Linked DNA regions of Lepisosteus oculatus. The protein of the gene in region 2 interacts with the protein of the main gene of each other region in a biochemical or structural test. Links are inferred from orthologs where the notes say so. Each region holds a gene or a part of one and is shown on either strand. Other genes may lie near its edges.

Region 1 (6,039 bases), on a different chromosome or scaffold from region 2:
AACCTGAGTTATATACAGTATATACTATAATAAGAGCACTGTTACTAAGTGATACTAAATGGCCTGCAGTTTCAATTGGCCAATAAAAAAGAGTCAATTAAAAATGTTGTCATCCTTGTTTCACACTAATGCTGAATAATTATCTCGCAAGGAAAAAAAAATACATATTGCAGATACAGACAATGAGCTAAGCAGATACTGAACATAGTGAGCAAGAAAACAGATTTCAAAAAGAAAGTTATTTTTGTCTGAGACAGTTTGCTTTGTTAAAGAGGTTGTGTCCTGGTCCTAGCTCCTGTCCTTCCAGTCTTTAAATGCGAATTTGTATCAATTACTGTACACCATTCGGTTAATTTATGACTCCTTAACTTCAAGGCCCAGTGTACAGTATGTTTTCTATACCAAGCAAAGTTCACACCAACAGTGATTACAATCATAAAATCATTTATTCAGCTGGCAGTGTGCAATCTCCTTCAGATACCTAAATTCCTGGGCTCAAACTGATCAAGTTTGCCCAAAGCTTCATTTGGCCTTCAGAGTCAACAACACACAGAGGAAGAGGCACTCAAGAATCTCAGAGACCATTGTTACATAGTTTTTCAGAGATGATTGCATGGAATGGAAATAATTTAATTTTTATTTGCTTACATTATCTGGAATACCTCTTGCGGAATTATTTAAAAAAACTTACTTATATCAGATTTGGAGGTGAGACATGATGTGCACTCCTGCTACCTGATGCTCCCATGATTGGCACCCCTAACTTTGTAACCAGTCTTCAAAGTGTGGGTTGCTGAGTGACACAGTTGCATTGTGAGATCTCACCCTGACCATGATTCGCCTTTAGAATCACCACCACTTAACCCAAGGTGGGTATGAGACAGCTATTAAAAATCAGGCAGTATAGTTCTCTGTATTTTGAATGTTAGCTGGCTCATTGCTCTGGGGAAATGACTTCACTGAGCTTTTTCCAAAGCTCAGAACAAAAAAAAGCCTTTAATTTAATGTTCAATTATGGCATCCATTGGTATTATGGTATCCACTGACTTCACAAGCCTGACAGTGTCCATGCCTGCTCAAGCTGATTTCCAGTTTTTGCTGTTTAGCAAATTTTATTTTTCAAAGCAGAACAAGAGATCAAAACAAAAAGGACAAATCCATGCAAAGAACTGAGCCTCAAATTAAAAAAAAATGGTATGGCTTACACAATGGAAAGTAATTACATATTTTTTTTTAGATAATAAAAGGTGTCTGAACAGGTGCTTTAGTAGAACAAAAAAAAAAACTAGCCTTTTTTCTTTATAATAGCAATTACTGAAAATGAATGCAAACTAGAGCAATCAGAAGGTATCTTAGTCTGCACCCAGCCCCCTAGGTCAGTTAGACTCCGACTCTGACTGTAGATTAGATCTTTCACATTTTCAGAACACAAGAATAAGAAAGTTGTAAATGCAGAAAAGCACAAAATTCAATATCGGACAGACACCAAATGGCGTATGATTTATTGGCTGTGGGGCTTTTACTTGGCAAATTATATTAATTTAACTTCATATTTTTAATTCTGCCATTTCTACTCTTGGTGAATCCTTGTAATATTTTGTGTTCTTTACGTTTTTTCTTTTACGCCTGTGCATCTGTTTCCAGCGACTGTCCTACTTCAAAGCCGAAAGACTCACGCATTTTTATTTTCTTGGTACATTGGCATGAATATTTTTTTCCCAAATTGTTTTGATGAGCTAAGGGCGACACCCAGTGCTTAGACCCTAGAAGACGGCATTACCTCGTGTCACAGAAAAGGGTTAATTTTGTACACGCTACCAATTTACCCGAAATGCATTGCACTTTGCAACGTAGGCAGGTAGGCACCGACAACATGGCTGTTGTCTGATACAACACTCTTAGGGACTTTTTAAAATATAATTAACAGAATTTACCAAGACAGCTTCTTTCCCAGCGAGGGCCTGCGTCGTATTTTTCACTTTGAACTTCGTACCCCAAGTTAAAGGTAAGAAACGTAATTTTTGCTGTAAAAGGAGCATGCTTTCTGTGGGTAATTGTTAGCTTTTGGTAGATACCGGTCTGTTCTCTAAATTAGCGCACATCTTGTGTGCTGAAGGCAGATCAAAGACAATGTACAGTTATAAATGAGTGTTCGTGCTTCATTTACGTGTAGCTTGTCCTCTCCTCTCCTGGAGCAAAATATTTTTTTTGTACTATAATGCTGCGTTTATTTTTTTTTATACCGGTCGCCAATACATACCACGAATTTCCCTATATGAAAATGACATAAAAATGTGATTTACAGGGGTTGCAGGGCTTTTAATAACATTAGTTCTTTATGTATTTTAAGCAGTAACTAATGCACTTGCATTTAATAAAGCCTGTTGGTCTATATTGGAAATGCGGTGTTGTGTAGAATGTTGTTGATTTCATATCCCGTCTATTGCTACTTCAGTGGTAAAAATGTTGCTAGATTTGAATTAAGCGATCCTGAGTTAAACAAATTCTACGATGAACAAAATCGGTTCAAGTCGCTTCCCTCAGTCTGTGGGCAGTAAAATTACATCCATACAAAACGGGTCTACAGGTGTAATCCACCTCTATCGGCGGCTCAGAGTCTTGACAAACCAAACGCTTTTCGACCATTGCTGTCGATTCCATCGCGAGTTGCGGTGGCCGGGATGTTTAATTTATAGGATCGGAGCCGAGGCGCATCTCCCGACAAGCCAAAAAGTCCGTGCGTCATCACCGGAAAGAAACCCGCAAGCACGCCTTAATTTGAGAAAAAAAAATGAAACTTGCTGATCTGTCACTGCTGCGCGAGTGTAATAAGAAGGGACGAGCATCCTTTATTAAACAAATACCAATTTATGTGGGCAATCCTGAAATGGACCTTTAGAGATTTGTTTCTGCTACTTTCGTGGTATTTGTATAAAATCGTTTTTTTTTTGTATTGCTCTGTTTCTGACCGTTTAAAGCTCTAAAAAAGTAAAGGCGACATGAAGGTATCACGTATTACCCATTGCTAGTATTCTTCAGACATACGAACAGGATGCCATGTCCTCAGTACTTTGTGTAACTGCCCATTGATTGGAGAACTCCTGCAAGTGCCTTTATGCTGTAGCAGTCTATTTTCATCTGGTAACTTCCTTCAACGGAGAAATCTCCTCAATACTTTATGCACTGCAATTTGTATCCATAATGAATCACAGTTGCCAACTTTCTTGGCTCTTTAATACTTGAGGGGTTAAAAAGACCTATTTATTTAAAAGGCCTCCTATTTATTATGCAGCATTTTGTAATGTACAGTTACATTGTGTGATGTCGTCTGTTGTAATGTATCATTGAGCCTATCATATGGAGTTTGTATCTTCACTCTGTGCTCACATAGGTTTCCCACAGGTGAAAGACCTACAGTATGTAGGCTAATTGGCTTCTGGGACAATTGCCCTGGGTGTGTCTGTGTGTCCTGCGATGGACTGACGTCCCCCTCCAGTGTGTATCCTGCCTTGTGCCTATTGCTTGCTAGTATAGGCTCCAGCTCCCCTGCAACCCTGAATTGGATGAAAAAATTAAAAGATGATCTAGTTTCCAGAATGAGTAACATTGTATATCATTGAGGAATCTGCTGACCTCCACTTTGTTTTAATGCCAGCTGGTCGTGTTTCCTGTATAGCCACTGCTCATGTTGTGACACCACCTTCATCTGCCCCCTCTGAGCTCCTGTTTCCAGTTGCTTGATGGTCTGCAGGCCAGTGGAGTTTGTTTTCGAAGATAACAGCATATTTTTTTAGAATATGATTGTTTATACATTTTTTTTCTCTTCAGGACAATGGCTAGTCCGAGGACAAGACGCGTTCTGAAGGAAGTCCGAACCCAAGATGAAAACAACGTGAGTTTCGCTTTATGGTCCTTGAAATTATTACAGTCCTAAAATCGCATGTTAAGAATAATATTCACTTTTTCCTGGTACACTAGTGCCCTTTTGCAATTAATGTAATCTGTGAGACGTATGTAAAGGTTTCACTGTGTTGAAGCACGCTAATGTGGTGCACCCAGTAAGAAGCATGCTACACACAGCTATGAAAGGCTTTCTGCTGAGCTCTGAGTGATGGGAGCTGATAGCCTAAGGAGATGCCTTGCTGGTGTACAGATCATAGGAGAGTGAGGATAGTTAAGTTGGGTTCTGTTTAACAAACGAGTACTAACAGTTTGATTCTTCATCTTAAACATTTTAACTTGCTTTAAATTGCTTTATTAATTGTATATTAACTTGCTTTAAATTACACAGTATTTGTAATACGATCAGCAATACCCGTGCACTTCTGCAGAACCTTTCATAAACCAAGTGCTTGTTCTGTCTTGGGTGGATACAAGACAGCTTGGCATTGTTTTGAAATGTGTTATGAAAAGCTCTCTGGAAAGCTGAGCTGAGAGAGTCACCTCCTTTCTCACGGGAGATCACAGGCATTTCTGAGTGCGTGGTACACCTTAGACCAGTGGTTCCTAATCCTGGTCCTGGTGACCCACACACCTGTTGGGTTTGGTTCCGGATGAGTTACACAATCAAGCCCTTCATTTACTTAATAATAAGATTAATCTGGACTGTTCATCCCCAGTTCTTAAACATGCTAAGCTTTATCTGTTGTATTTTGTAAGTGAAATAAAATCCCCAATTTGTGACTAAAAAGAAAATGCAAATAATCAAATGAAGCAACATTTTTAGATCTGTTAAGGCTTCAATTATCTAATTAAGCTGAGAATGGGATGAACACCTGCAAGTGTAAGGGTCAGTAGAGCCAGGACTGGTAATCACTGCTATAGAGACATAAAACAGCCTCCCATGTTACCATAAATGCTTAGTCAGAGCAAGCCCCTTGGAGCACTGCTTGTTAAGCACATCCCAGTTAAGAGATGCCAAGTGATTAGTGGCATCAGTAGCTATAAATGGAATTAACATCCTCAATTTACCACTATTACTTAATGGAGAGTCATGGAAGTTTATGGGTATCTGGGATGATTACTAATGAGACAGCAAAATGGATGTGGCAGAATTTGTAACATCCTTGCATTATATTGGGGGGCAAATAACATTCCCATGTCAACAGGCTGACTTGGTGTTTAGCTTAGATCCCCGAGAAGAAAGGTCGATTTTGCTCATAGATAGCAATGTAGTGTTTCAGAGAGGAGGTTAGGGAAATGCTGTTTTAATGGAGGCTGACCTAATACAGTGCCGGTATCGCAATCACTTCTCCTTTTGCTCCTGCTTTATCCAGACGTGCTTCGAGTGCGGGGCGTTTAACCCCCAGTGGGTGAGCGTGACGTACGGGATCTGGATCTGTCTCGAGTGCTCTGGCAAGCACAGGGGCCTGGGGGTCCACCTCAGGTGAGTCGACCTGCGAGCCGCCTTTTCAGGGGTGTCTCCTGGGCCCGGAGAATAGCAGGAACATTCCGAAGGAAGTTCAAGGGTTCGAGTGGGGAGTTGCGTCAGCGTGTGGGCCTTCTGTTTTTGTTACCTAGTGGTTTTGATATCATTAGTTTGTACCCTCCCAGTAATTAAAACGGAATTGCAACACCATTTTCATATTTCGAGGAGAGCAGGTATTAGCATTGATGAGTGCATTTCAAACCACAGTAAAAGAAAAATGTAACCTGCAAAACCTCTAATTTACATCACAAAATAGATTAAATATCCGGGTATGCGCAGCGCCATGTTCTGCGATTCAGAAGGAGGCAACAGAACTTGCAGTGACATGAAGCGGCGCTAAGACATTGTAAACAAGCTGGCTTGTGAATACATCTCTTTTAATCCAATAGAAATATTGCTCTCGACTTTGTGATGGTTTTGCCAACAAATACTACTTACTGGTTAACCCTGCATGAAATGTCTGCTGCACAGCCTGTACTTATTCACTTGTAATATCGCATTACAATAGTCATTAGAGTGACTAGTGAGCAGGAAGGGCTGCATCACGTCACAGTTCATGGGAAGTGAAATGTGAGTTTGTGACAACATGGCGACTTATAGAACTCTCGCAA
Region 2 (6,039 bases):
TTGTCTCTTCTCATTGTGGACATATTGTGTATATTTTTTATTGTTGTTGTCATTCTGTAAAGCACTTTGAGAAGCCACCTTGGAAGACGAGATATCAAATAAAGTCTATTATTAACCACTTACCTATAGTGGGAATAGTAGTCACGATTTCACCAAGTTTAAGTTTGTAAAGAATGGTTGTCTTTCCAGCAGCATCTAGGCCTACCATGAGAATTCGCATTTCTTTCTTGCCAAATAGGCCTTTGAAGACACTTGCAAATACATTTCCCATGGCTGAAACACAAAGTGTCCAACACTGGCCAAGGAAAAATCTGAAAGCAAAGAGATGAGAATAATTAATAATCTCATACTGACAGATGAATGAAGCACAAAAACTTTCAATTTCTTATGTCTACTCTGAAAGGGTATATAGAGCAAAGGAAATACAAATTGATTCTCAACTGATTCTATCACTTTTACAAGTATCATAAGGCAAAATTGACATTTAATTCCAAGGCAATTACCATCCCTCACAAATTTTGTTAAATCTAGATGAATTGGTAAATTCACAGCAGTTCAGAAATAAGAATATCCCAACGGTAAAGAACAAAATTTCTTGCAATAGGAAAGGATTATGCTAAAGACAATATTGACTACATATCAGACATAGTTTAGAAAAGACAGGGCTATAAGCTTTAACATGGTTTAAACATGGTCTATGGCTCTTGAGATGTTCTGACCATCCAAATGCCACAAGCAGAATTTTAGGTTTTACAACAAAGCTTCTGGAACATTAAACGGTTAGAAAAAGAGGCACAACTGCCTCCTGCATACATTGAAACTAGGCCTTCCAATCTCTTTTGTTTGCACAAAACAATTGCTAACCCACTGTCAAATGACTTAGCCATCAGTAACATGTAGCACGTGGAGGAGGGGGGGGATTAAATCATAGAACAGACCTAGTTATGGTTGAAAAGAAAGTCTTTCACATACACACAAAAGCAGAAGCTGACAAAGTTGTTCTAACCATGTTCCACAAGAATTCCACTGTAAGCAGAAGCAACAGTAGCATAATCCAGCCTGGTTACAATTGTACTGAGGGAAATGTGTCTAAAGAGTTTTCACTTGGACCTAAAACCAAGAATGCTTATCTATCTATCTAAGGAAACTTCAGAGACAATTATGGAATAAAATGGCAAAAACAAAGCATTCCTAATAATGAAACATTTATAATAATGTAATGTATAATAATGTTTCTTTATTAGCCCTATACAATTTCTTGCATTAGGAATTTGTCTTTTCGCATACCCCAGCTTTTCTCCATGGAGACACAGACACACAGACACAGGGAGAGAAGCTTGGGGTCAGAGCGCCCCTGGAGCAGTTAGGGTTAAGGGCCTTGCTCAGGGGCCCAACGGAGTAGGATTCCTCTGCCGGCCACGGGATTTGAACCGGCAACCTTCCAGTCACAGGCGCAGATCCTTAGCCACAGAGCCACCGCTCTGCCCCGTATACTATTTATACTAGTATACTTATCAAAAGTAATAGTATACAAAAGCAGCATTGTACACGTATGTATACTGAGACCATGACTGTTATTTTCTTATGGCATACTATATCTGACTAATTAATGATAATGATAATGAATGCAAGCTACAAAGGGAAAAATATTTCTGCATTAAGTATTGTGTTCCATCAAGAGTTTACTTTTTCAAGACCACCAGTATTTCCACAGTATGGATGAAAGCATCTGAAAAACACACTTTTAGGTTTTTTGCCACCTTGTAAAAACAAAAAAATAACATATACTATCAGGAACTGTTGATGGCAAATGATGTGCTTATTACTGCATGAATAAATTCTGCACATCCATACATACTAGACAGTGTTGGATTCTGAACAACTCACTGATCACAGGATTAATTCAATCACCCCTCTTTCACAGGTCTTCTTGTAGTTGTTACATTTCCTTAATTCACATTCCAAAAGGGGCCTTTTATTGCCAACTCCAGCTCTAGCACAAGAGTAAAATACCCCTATGTCTTGTTTAAGAAATAAATATCAGATAAGTAGAACTAAAAACTAGATAACTTGTTTAGTGATGTTACCCCACAGAAATTCTGCTTTTTCAGTTATGCAACACAGATGTCTGCGAGTTATAACTGGTTTGTTATGAAGAATGCTTCATGGCCGGCTATACAGCCCAGTGCTACGTTTAGGTAGATGTAGACCAAAATGTCAGATTTTTTTTATAGCATGGAATTCAAGTGATAAAACAAGATGTCGGAAGCTTGTGGGGTGTCCTGGTCTTGCACCTCTTCCCAATATATTTTTCTGAACTGACAAGTTGACAGCATTTTACAAGCAATCAGAAGATTGTGCATCCTACAAAAGCTTAAAAAATGGAGGCTATTAAATTAATTCATTGACAAGCTACCCAAAAATACACCGTCAAAAAAAGGTTTATAGCAAAAAAGTTGAATATACCCCATGGACTGTATGAAGTAGGCTAAACAACTTGAAATGTTAATTCAATTATTTCCAGCTAAACATCTCTCCATGTTAAGGACTATACTTTCATGTGAAGATGGTACAGCTGTGGGTGAGGGCATTTGCATTCCCCAATGATGGTAAAAATCAGTTAGCTGAAATAACCACCCACCTAACAGTGAGGTCATTTCAGATGTTTCAACACAGCTCCACATAGCTGCACAAGGAAAAAACACCTCAACAAGTTAGGGCATGGAAGAAATTAACGTGGTGTCAGGTCTGAAGATGTCTTAGGGAAAGTGCACTAAGGAAAGGAGGCACGTCTTCACACAAATAGTGGTGGGACAAGGTAGCGAGCTATGTTGTTACAGCTGCTGCCTTGGCTTCTTTTAAGAAACAGCTGGATGAGATCCTCCAATGAACTCCTAACATATGTACAGGCTAGATAAGCCGAAAGACTTCATTTTAAACCTCTCACACGCTTATTTGCTATTGTCATCCTATTAAGGAAATAAAACAGCTAGCATATTGTTCACACTCTCAAATTGCTAGGCCTTTGAAAGTGATCACGGAATGTTCCACTCTGTGTGTGTGTGTGGGGGGGGGGACTCTGAAAAATAAAAAAAAGACTTCAATGGAAATGGAAGAACGCTGGCGGTAACTTAATAGTACTGGCAAATGATCAGTGATAAGCAAAATACGTTATTTCAAAACCGCGCCCAGGTTTCTATGCTGAGATCTTGACTTGCCTGAAGCTTATTTTAGCCAGGGGAAGGCAATGCGATAGGAACAACCACGACTGTAGCCTGTAGAGAACGAAACGATGGTTTTGCGATGCTGGGCCAGGAGTCGGGCTTGCTAGCCTCCTGCACTGCCCAGCGCTCGCGCTGCCTCCAAGGGCTCACCAAGGTTCCGGTTCCGCGTGCTGACGTTCCGCAGTCCCACAAAGGAACAGGACCGTCTTAACACAACGGCTGCAAATTACGCGGCTTCCCCAAACCCATTACTAAACTGCTAAATCCCCCTCCAATGCACTTTACATGCATCCAATTTGAAGATCATTATTACAGTCACAAACACTACATTTTCCTGAAAACACAGAGGAGGCAGCCGAGGAGACTCGGGCCTAATGACCATGGACATCGTCTCACAAGGAAAACAGTTGCAATAACTTCGGCCGATTTCAGTTTTACAGTTGAATCCAGCCGGGATTGTTTCCTGGGAAAAACGCATTTTTGTTGTTCCGTACCATGTTACTGTGAGCATTATCACAGCAAGACAGCCGTAAAACACCTTGAGAAGAAAAGGCCAATCGGCCGTTTTCTCCTTATCGCGTCCGTCCTGAAAACCGGCCCGGTGTTACTGTCAAATTTGAAACCTTGCGACTGCCCGCCCACGTACTTCTCCCGAGTTTCAGCTGGCTTGTGCTCTCAAACGTATGTAATATATGGGATTTTTCATGTCATACCATTAAAAATTAAGTAAATTCACCATCCACCTTACCACCACACAGCACCGCTCGCTTCCTCTTCAAGGCGTTCCCACAAGATGGCGGCTCCCTGTGGCCACGTCAGTGCACCGGATCTTCTTGGGGGGAGAGGAAAAATTTAGCAAATACACCACCCCCTCGAGAGCAGCTCTCGGAAACCGGGAAAACGCGGCGGCGTGGAGGACTTACTGCACGAGTTGGAGGGTGTCCAGACCAAGACTGATATGCCAGTTTGTTTAGCATCGTGTCTGTCAGTTTAGCAAAGATCACATTTGGTAAATTGCTTTGACTGGTAAATGTTTTCTAGGCTAATAGTACATTATGAAACGTGTATGTTCTATTAATTCATTTTTTATTAATGGAACACAAGTCAAATAATATCAAATAATGATAGCTGATGTGTGGTGAGCGTTCTGGCGCACTATGGCTGCCGTCGCATCATCCAGGTGGATGCTGCACATTGGTGGTGGAGGGGCGTCCCCATTACCTGTAAAGTGCTTTGAGTGGAGTGTCCAGAAAAGCGCTATATAAGTGTAAGCAATTATGATTAATTATTATTATTAAGTAATTCTTCGATGTCCCGAATGCTACCAGAATAACCGAATGACTGTTATAGTTCTAATTCAATAATATATGAACTACTGAATTCTTGCAAGACCAAAAACGTTCTATTCTTTTTCTTGAGTATACATTGTTATATGTGTTTGTGTATTGTAAATACTATTCCAAATACAAATACAATGACTCCCCCCCTCCTTGACTCGCAAAACATCTGCAACAATTTAAAGGGGGCAAACTAGTTTTATTTTTTATTTTTATTTTTTGAATATAGTTTTATTTATTCTATAGTGTCAGAAGCTTTTCTACATGTAGTTCAAATCATTGTTCAGTCAATTCCAGTTAATTGAGTTCCGTTTTTGATTAGTATAACTCAGAAGATCTGTTTGAAGGTTTATAGTCAGCTATCACATACTATCTCATCAGTAGGAAGACATGTGTTTCTTGCCAGACAACATGATGCTGCTGACCTACAATTACAGTACTTATTCTTTGAAACATTGCAAAAATAGAAAAAACGATTAAGGTGAAGAAACCATGCCTTTCAACTTGCTATCCTTTGTCACCTGACAGACCATAGAAATCTCCTACATCTGGCTTTCTATTTCTTTTCTGTCTTCTTCTGTACATTTCCGATGTAAATTTAAATTGGAAACCATTGGGAATAGACAAAACTTAACTTAAAATCTCATTGGTCTATGATTTCAAGATGATAGTTTTTACCATCTATCACATCATTTTGTTAACCGTTGTTGAACAGTTTTTGCAGGGACACGCAGAAACACTTTCATCACCCTGCAGCCTAAGCACCACTCTGGCATGGTTCAGGGAAATATAATCAATGAGGTGTAAGAAACAAGTCACATGCTCCAGTAGCTTCAGAAACTAGTATATTACAGACTGAAAAATGGCTGGAACAATTGGATTGCTATATTGCACAGTTACAATTGTATAAACCCTGACGTACTTACACCCAGACACTTGGAAACATCTTTCAGTTGTTAGTGTCTGTGAGAAAACCCACTACTTTGGCAAACAGCTCCTTCACTTTAGGAAGTGGGTAAGCGTGTGCTTCCATACAGCAACCCACTGTGATTTTATAACATCTGCAGTTCTGCAATGATACCTCTGCTTTTAGCATTACTGCATCGGGGACTTTTCTCAGGGCGTATGGTAAACGCTTTGCCTTGTAAAAGTGGGATTGCAGTCTGACTAAAAACATACTCCATCTTACATTTCTCCAGGGTGTGTTCTACTGTCATCAGGTATTTTACTCCCAGTCTAAATGAATGGGCGTTAACCTGACTCTTTCTGGCAAAGGCTGATGGGATTATGGAAGAAGCTCCATGTTGTTAAAGACCATACTCTGGCTTCTTTCAAGAAACAACTGGCCGATCATTTAACTACGAATTTCTCTAGATCTGGACTTGATATAGATGGGCAGAATGGACTCCTTGTGTTCTAATATTGGATTGTTTCCTTTTTCAACCAATAAACTAAAGCAAATCGGATTATAAAATACT

The links. The genes of interacting proteins can lie anywhere in the genome.
Region 1: the proteins of arf1 (region 2) and arfgap1 form a complex in vitro, tested with the Homo sapiens proteins (2 studies listed by BioGRID, with this or other methods). The link is inferred for Lepisosteus oculatus from reciprocal best matches to the Homo sapiens genes ARF1 and ARFGAP1.

What each region holds. Positions count from the first base shown.
Region 1 is NC_090711.1:9,712,346-9,718,384, reverse strand, and holds the start of arfgap1 (ADP-ribosylation factor GTPase-activating protein 1), read left to right. Parts: upstream 1-1,834; 5' UTR 1,835-2,005; intron 2,006-3,828; 5' UTR 3,829-3,832; coding exon 3,833-3,892; intron 3,893-5,276; coding exon 5,277-5,386; intron 5,387-6,039. UniProt on the Homo sapiens protein: GTPase-activating protein (GAP) for the ADP ribosylation factor 1 (ARF1). Involved in membrane trafficking and /or vesicle transport.
Region 2 is NC_090701.1:29,757,700-29,763,738, forward strand, and holds the start of arf1 (ADP-ribosylation factor 1), read right to left. Parts: upstream 4,059-6,039; 5' UTR 3,973-4,058; exon of another isoform or gene 3,938-3,972; intron 312-3,937; 5' UTR 272-311; coding exon 124-271; intron 1-123. UniProt on the Homo sapiens protein: Small GTPase involved in protein trafficking between different compartments. Modulates vesicle budding and uncoating within the Golgi complex. In its GTP-bound form, triggers the recruitment of coatomer proteins to the Golgi membrane.